Cricetulus griseus: one gene and its partner. The protein of the gene in region 2 purifies or fractionates together with the protein of the main gene of each other region. This does not show direct contact. Links are inferred from orthologs where the notes say so. Each region holds a gene or a part of one and is shown on either strand. Other genes may lie near its edges.

Region 1 (4,331 bases), about 12 Mb from region 2:
AGGCCTGGTCTGGTTGGAAGCTTGAAGTGTCTTTTGTATCTTCTAAGTGTATTTACTTGTAATTGGTACAAATCAACCTAGAAAAAAAAAATTAAGATGTAACATAGTTCACTCTGCTGAAAAGATATCACTGATCTGTAAAGCAAAGGGCAATGTCCACTTCAGCACAAGAACAATTTCTTTTCCACAGTCAGATCTAGAGTTTATTAGTTTCACCTTTTGGGGATACATAGTGTAAGCTTTTAGAGGAAAAAAAAAAAGGAAGTTATAGGTCAAGGGCTACAAGAACTGTCACCTGAGATTTAATAGTAGTATAAATGCATGTTTTATTCTATTTACTTATTTATTTTTGGTTTTTCGAGACAGGGTTTCTCTGTGTAGCTTTGTAGACCAGGCTGGCCTGGAACTCACAGAGATTCGCCTGCCTCTGCCTCCCGAATGCTGGGTTTAAAGGCATGCACCTGCACCACCACCACCACCACCCAACCACCCGGCTAGTATAAATACATGTTAACTGATTGTATTTAATTTTGAGATTTGTCAGATGCTTTAAACATTTAAAACTTAATTCAAATATTTACATAAAGGCTTTGGAATTGCCAGCATGCTTATGATTTACATTTAACATAATAAAACTTTGCTCTACCTCTGGAGTATCGATGTCCTGAACAGGTGAGTCTCCTCCATCATCATCACTCCCTTTCCTCTTTCTTCTGTTTCGAACACTCTGAATTAAGTTTTTATGATAATCACAAATATAAAGATGTCTTGCCTGAAACAAAGTTTCATAGACAGTGAATACAGAACAATGCATCTCTGTGTTAGTAAAACACATAGGCCCAGATGAATGACTGAACAGTCTAAGCGGGCCACTGTTAAGACAATGTAACGTTCCTTTCCAAACCGGTTACCTGACTCTAACATTAGCAGTCTGGCAATACTGTTTGTGGGAGAGGGGAGGGGAAGGAGAGTGGTACCATGGGAGAAGGCAGGCAGACAGAGGAAGAGAAATTCCAACCCTCTGGGGTTTGTCATCAAATTGCATTGAGGATGACCTAAATAAATTAGCTCCCGTTGATTTTGAAGGTACAAGGGAAGAGGTGATAATTTTCTCTAATCTGAGAGCAGCAAATCATATTAATGCTCCTAATGTTAGGTATATGCTTCCTAATCTTACTAATTAGTCAAATTCCACACAGATACTAACTAGGCATTTTTACAAATGCGCTATTGAATTCATATCCTATGTTTAAATTTCAAGTACTAACATTTCTTTGTAAGAATTAAATGAATGTATTTATCTGTACTGTGTTGCTTTCAATTAAAGAACACAGAAATTATTCACATTCACTTGCAACATTTCTCATGGGTCCTACTGAAAAACGGCTTAAACAGAAACACAAACTTTTCAAACAATTACACAGGCATTTGAGAGTTACATAATGAGCGATTGGAAATACTGAGCTGATTGACAGTCTCCCCCTCCCCCCTTTAAGGCTACACAATTAAGGGCCTTTTAAATTGACTACTAAGCTAAGAGCAAGTTAAAAAATATACAGATGTGTGGAGGCTCTGTATCCTCTTCTTCATTTGCCACCAGCCAGAGCTCTGGAAAGTAGCAAAGGATCTCTCTGAAACCTCATAGCTGGCCCAAAGAGCAAACGTGCATAAAGACGGGAAAAAAAATCCCGATGGCTGCCAAGTGGGCTGTAAAACCACTGAGGATTATTTGCAGCCTCGGTTCGGAGCAGCTGCACGAAGAGCTGACACCGCAAACACCGTTTACAACCACCTCCCAGTAAGGCACTGGTGAGTTCGGCTTCCCTCTGCGTGTTCAAGAGAAACAATATCGAGGGGAATGCAGGGGGGAGATTTCCCTTCTCTGCGACGTGGGTTCCTGCCAGACTCGACTTTCCCTAAAGGAGCGGAGCTACTCCCTGGGGTCAGACGCTGGCTCGGGCAGCAAAACAAAGGCGCCTCCATTCCAGAGAAGGGGCTGCCCGGCTACAAGAAAACTACTCTGGGCTCTCGGTAACGCGGTTGGTTCCCTTTGTTTCGTTTCCAGATCGCAGCAAAGGAGGAAGAGGGAAGCCTGGAGTGGGAGAGACGCGAGGCGGCCGGAGTCGGGGTAGGGGCGGAGGGGACCTGCACCACTGCGCCAGGGCGCGCCGGGGGAGGTGGCCAGAGTTGCAGCGACTTTGTTTCAGTCGGAGAACCCACTAATCCCACCTGCAGCCCGGTCCCGACGACTCGTGAGCCTCCGCCAAGGACCGGGCTGGGCAAGCAGGGTAGGGCAAGGGCTGGGCAGGGCGGTCCCACTGCCACTTACACTCTTGTCCAGCTCGATCTTCACCTTCTTCTGCGAGATGCTCTTCTGGATCCTCTTGCTGAAGCTGGCGTTGCCAGCCGCGCGCCCGCACCGCTCGCCGTCCTCCCGCAGACAACAGAGTTGCCCGAGGCCCGGACCGGCTGCTCCGGGGGGACCAGCAGCCGATACCGCACCAGCACCGGGTACCTCTGCCCCACCGCCAGCCGCGTTCCCGTTCCCCGCCGAAGCGGCGGCAGCTGCAGCAGCGACCACCGCGGCCACGGCTGCGGCCGCGTCCCCGCTGCGGCTCATCTCCTCCGGAGTGAAGCCGTTCATGTCTGCCAGCTCGGGGGCGCCGGCGCCGCCACAGAGCCCCGCTCGCCGCGCCGCTCCGCCTCCTTCCCCGGGGCGGCCGTTCACTCCGCACCCCAAGTGTGGCGGCGGCACGGTCCGACGCCCAGAGTCCCGGGCCTGTCGGTCTGTGGGCGCTGGAATAGCGGCGGGTTCCTGGGACTGTGATCGGGAGTGGAGTGGCTCCTAAAAAGGGGACCCCACTCACTGTCACATGGAGACTTCAGCAGTTGGACCGCGGCTCCACCGCCTCCTTCCAGCCCCGGGACCTGCGCGAGTGAGACGCCCCTCCTCCGGCCCCGCCCCTCCACCGCCGCGCGGCCCCACGGGAATAGTAGTTCTCGGTCGCGGAGCCCACTTGCGCTCCGTTCTGATTACGTGCTGGACGAACTACTAATCCCAGCATACACCGCGCGGCCAGCCACCCGTGAGGTTTTTTTCTTTTTTCCATTCCAAGCACCGGGCAAATCCGAGTATGAGGTCAGGCTTTACTGTATTTTCTCGCCTCTTTTATCTCCTACGAGCAAGGGCTGTTTTTAGCTCCTGTTATTTCGTAAAGTTAGTGTTCAGACGGCCAGCCGACTCCTGGGAAGAAACATAAACAGTGCGTGTATGCGGTGGGGTACTAGGGAATAAGTGAGAAAAAGTTTGTGGGCTGTTTCTTCTTTATGGAAAACACTCGGGCGATCTGGCATTCGTTAGGCGCTGGGTCCTGCATCTCCATCTCCACGCCGCAGTGTACTTCCCGTGTGCCAACCGGTTGACAGGCGCCGGACTGCTGCTTGCCTCTGCTGCCCTGGACTTCCGCGCAAACGGATCCGAGAGGGGAGGGGTTTAAGAACCTTTAAAGGATCCCCACTGCCACCAGGTCTGCAGGACTGCTCGGAAACTTGGCAGCGCTGGCCGTAGGGGACGAGGAGAGAAAAACCTCGTTTCTTGAGTCATACACATGCGTACATGTATGCTTGTATGTGTCGCGGGTGGGTGGGTGCGGGAGCGCGGGAGCGCGCCTGGGTACGTGTTTGTGCTCGCGTAGGCGTGTATTCCTGCCTGAGCCTGCGGTGGGAGGGGTGGGAGGATGGGCGTGGTCATGCTAATTATTGGACTGTTTAGCTATCCCAATGATTAAAGGAAAATAATGTATTTCAGGTAGAGGAGTTTTGAAAGAAAGCCGTTTTAGACTTAGTCGATTTACTAACAGATTTAGGACAGATTCACGGAGAAACTCAAAGCTGCCCGTGTTATCTGTGAATTTCTACTCTCATACAGCCGTGAAAATTGGTGAATACATTTTTATTATTTAAAATGGTCATTTTTCTCTCGTACTTGTTAAGTTATAAGTTAATATATTTAATCAAATACTAGAAAATTCTAGGCTCTCATGCCTTCCCATGCCATTTCTTCCATCTCTGGGACTCCAATTCAGTATATGTTAGGCCTCCTACTGTACTCTTTGTGTTTCCTACCTTATCTTCAGTGGCTATGTTTTGTTTTAAATTTCCATTGGATTCTTTTAACCTACACTTAGTCATACATTCTCTATTTAGGTGTGCCCACTCTGCTCTAAAATTCACCCATAGTTTTTTGGGTTTTGTTACACTTCTTAGTCTTATAATTCCTATGTTTTTTCCCCCAGATCTTAAATGTCACCAATTTTCCAATCCACTGACAA
Region 2 (3,645 bases):
TCTGGAGGGTCCCAGAACCACCCCCCCCAAAAGTGAGATTGCATGTCTACACCTGGAAACACAACAGGTGTCCAGGAGCGTGGCTGTCAAGACTTTGTTCAACACTAGAGTGGGAGGGGTGAGCTGGGGCCAGGGTCAGGTGACACCATTGGGCAGGAACTCTGGTAGCTCCCCTTTATAAAATGCCCTGAGTCAGGGAGGGAAGTAGAAGGTGGGAACACCTTTTCAGAACGACAGGCACAGCAGTGGCAGGGTTCCTCTTGAGGCTCTCGATGACCTCGGGGGCCTTGTCACCATAGATGCGGTGGATGGCACGGCGCTGGATCACCTCTGATGTGCCACCCAGGCAGTCATCCAGGCGGAGCTTCTCCTGGTCCTCAGGTGCCATCCTCGACAACTTCTTCTGCACACTCTCCAGCACACGGATGGTGGCCAGGTTGGTCTCCAGGACAACGTCTAACTGCAGGGAGGGGCAGGCAGCAGTGGTGTGTGAAGGTCATCATGGCAGTACGGGGGTGTGTGGAGCCAGTAAGTGTGGGAGAGGTGGACTCTGCTGATACCGAAGTGGCCCTACCACCTAATAGGGTGCTTGGGCACCACAGTGATCACCCACTCAGTGATATCATTTGTACTTTATACTCATTTTCTGGCTTTCTTATGACTTACTTCATTTTTAACTTTGCATCTATGTATAAGTGTGTGGGTATGTACAAGTGAGAATAGTACCCCTGGAGCACAGAAGGTGGTGTCAGACCCCTTGGAGCTGGAACCTGAACCAAGGTCTCTGCAAGAGAAGTCAGCACTTTTGTTGTTGTTGTTGTTTTTGCTTTATGTTTGAGACAGGGTTTCTCTGTGGCTTTGGAGGCTGTCCTGGAACTAGCTCTTGTAGACCAGTCTGGCCTCGAACTCACAGAGATCCACCTGCTGGGATTAAAGGCGTGCGCCATCACCACCAACGCCCAGCTGAGCAGTCAATCAGCACTCTTAACTGCTGAGTCCTCTCTCCAGTCCCTTTTTACTTTTTCATCTTTCTAAGACAGAACTTAGGCACTCCTCTTGCCTTTGTGCTGTGAAGAAGGGCATGTGCCCCACACAAAACGTACTTGTCTCTCTTGAAATGACGGAATAGTAGAGGGTGGGACAAAAGGGTGTTCACAGAGGAAGGGAAGGGAAGGGAAGGGAAGGGAAGAAGGGAAGGGAAGGGAAGGGAAGGGAAGGGAAGGGAAGGGAAGGGAAGGGAAGGGAAGGGAAGGGAAGGGAAGGGAAGGGAAGGGAAGGGGAGGGGAGGGGAGGGGCAGGCTGGGTGTGACTACTGATGATTAGAACAGCAAAGAGATCAGGGGGCTTGTGTGGCTTAGGCATTGAATCTGGTGACAGAATCACATAATACACAGACACACAGGCACGCTCACACGCGCACACACACGCGCGCACACAAACTTTCTGCTACAGTCTGACCTGTTCTTCCCAAACTCACACTGAAGTTTAGAGGTTGGTGTGGCAGTATTAACAGGAGGCCACACTTAGCAGAGGCCCATGACCCCAGCACATGGGAGGCAGAAGCAGGAGACCATACATTCCACGACAACCTTATCTTAAACACAGGACTTCAAAGAGGTGCTCTAGGCACAGCCTGTCCTCATGGGTGGGTGGCACTGCCCAGGAAGGGGAGACAAACCACAATCAGCCTCCTTTGTGTCCCTCCACTATGGACATCAAAGACAGGCTTCCCTGGATATGGGCCTTCACATTCCACTTCCCAGTGGTTGCCCTATCCATTGGACTCTTGTCGTAGCATCAGATAGAAACACATGGGGGCTGGAGAGATGGCTGAGAGGTTAAGAACACTGGCTGTTCTTCCAGAGGTCCTGAGTTCAATTCCCAGCAACCACATGGTGGCTCACAACCATCTGCAATGAGATCTGGTGCCTTCTTCTAGTGTGTGGTCATTCATGTATACAGAACACTGTATACATAATAAACAATCTTTAAAAAGAAAGAAAGACGGGCAGACATACACCTAGGAACTTGGGGTGGAGAATGTGTCATCCTAGCACTTGGAAGGCTAAGGCAGGAGGATCACAAGTCGTACACCAGCCTACACTACAAAGAGAGCCAATTTCATAAAGAAAACCAAGGGCTGGAGAGCTGGCTCACTGGCTAAGAGAACTGGCTGCCCTTCCAGAGGACCCACATGGTAGCTCATAACTGTCCTAAACTCCAGTTACAGGAGATCTTATGCCCACTTCTGGCCTCCATAGGCATCAGACATACATGGTGCAGATATACACGCAGACAAACACCCACACACATAAAATAAAACCCTTAAAGAAAACCGAATCAAAAAGAAGACGTGGACTCTGGGATAAGAAGGGTGGTTGTCTGTCTGTCCTCCAGAGGGGCACTCAGTGGGGTCTGAGAGCTCAGTTGCAATGTCAATAAATAAAGCTAACTTAATTTTAAGTTAACTAATTGTTTTTAGTTGATTATTTATCTAATTGTATTTTACGTATGAGTGCTCTATATGTATACCTGCACTCCCGAAGAGGGCATTAGATCCCATTATGGATGGTTGTAAGTCACCATGTGGCTTCAGGGAATTGAACTCAGGACCTCTGGAAGAGCAGCCAGTACTCTTAACTGCTGAGTCATTTCTCCAGCCCTGCATTATCTTTAGTTGAAAGAAAGGGGGTGGAGCTTAAGAGCTGGCAGAGCTGGTAAGCAGGGAGCTCTGGGAGGAGAGAGAGACTGAAGAACTGGGCCATGCTATGAAGGCACTAGGCTGGGTGGACAGATGGCAGGCAGGACAGGTGGTTGGGGTGTAGGTGGGTTAGACTCACAGCTTCACCTACCTCAAACCTCTCATCCTCACAACGATGCAGCTGCTCTTCATACGGAGTCTTCTTGGAGCTGACAAAGGTAGAGTCCTCAGACCAGGATGGGAAGGACACCCATGTGTCATTCAGGACCTGGACCAGAAGAGAGGAGTGTCACTAAGCATGCTGGTACAGACAACATGAGTAGCCATGCTCACAGCCAGTTACTTCCCACCACTCAGTGAGATTAACTCTCTAGATGCCAAGCAGGCTAGGGCTGTGGTACTGAATACAAGGCTGTGTCTCAGGGCCTAGCACCATCGCATGGTGGCCTTGAGCCACAAAGATTTTTTTTTTAAAGATTTTATTTATTTATTATGTATACAGTCTTCTGCCTGCATGCCAACAGAGGAAACCAGATTTCATTCAAGGTGGCTGTGAGCCACCATGTGGTTGCTGGGAATTGAACTCAGGACCTCTGGAAGAACAGTCAGTGCTCTTAACCACTGAGCCATCTCTCCAGCCCCAAGCCACAAAGATTTTAAGCTGTCTTTGAATATCCAACTTTGCCTTTGTCCTAAGAAAGTGGGCTGAGGCAATGTCCACAAAGGCATGCCAGTGTGCTTACAACACAAGTGGTGGATCCAATTTGCTTTGCAGTGCTCAGCAGATCCTCAGGCTATAAATTCTCTGGGCTTGAGTGGGACTCCCGAGTCCCCTCTTAAGAGAACTACCCACAAACCTGACTGTCCAAGGCTCACCTGAACACACATGGTGTTCTGGCTAGTTTTATGTCAACTTGACAGAAAGAAACTGTGAATATGTTTCT

Evidence for each region. The genes of interacting proteins can lie anywhere in the genome.
Region 1: the proteins of Sin3b (region 2) and Sap30 purify together in Homo sapiens (affinity purification with mass spectrometry; 4 studies listed by BioGRID and IntAct, with this or other methods). This does not show direct contact. The link is inferred for Cricetulus griseus from reciprocal best matches to the Homo sapiens genes SIN3B and SAP30.

What each region holds. Positions count from the first base shown.
Region 1 is NW_023276806.1:235,757,363-235,761,693, forward strand, and holds the start of Sap30 (histone deacetylase complex subunit SAP30), read right to left. Parts: upstream 2,945-4,331; 5' UTR 2,645-2,944; coding exon 2,330-2,644; intron 773-2,329; coding exon 647-772; intron 78-646; coding exon 1-77. UniProt on the Homo sapiens protein: Involved in the functional recruitment of the Sin3-histone deacetylase complex (HDAC) to a specific subset of N-CoR corepressor complexes. Capable of transcription repression by N-CoR.
Region 2 is NW_023276806.1:247,446,215-247,449,859, reverse strand, and holds part of Sin3b (paired amphipathic helix protein Sin3b), read right to left. Parts: intron 2,970-3,645; coding exon 2,853-2,969; intron 461-2,852; coding exon 222-460; intron 1-221.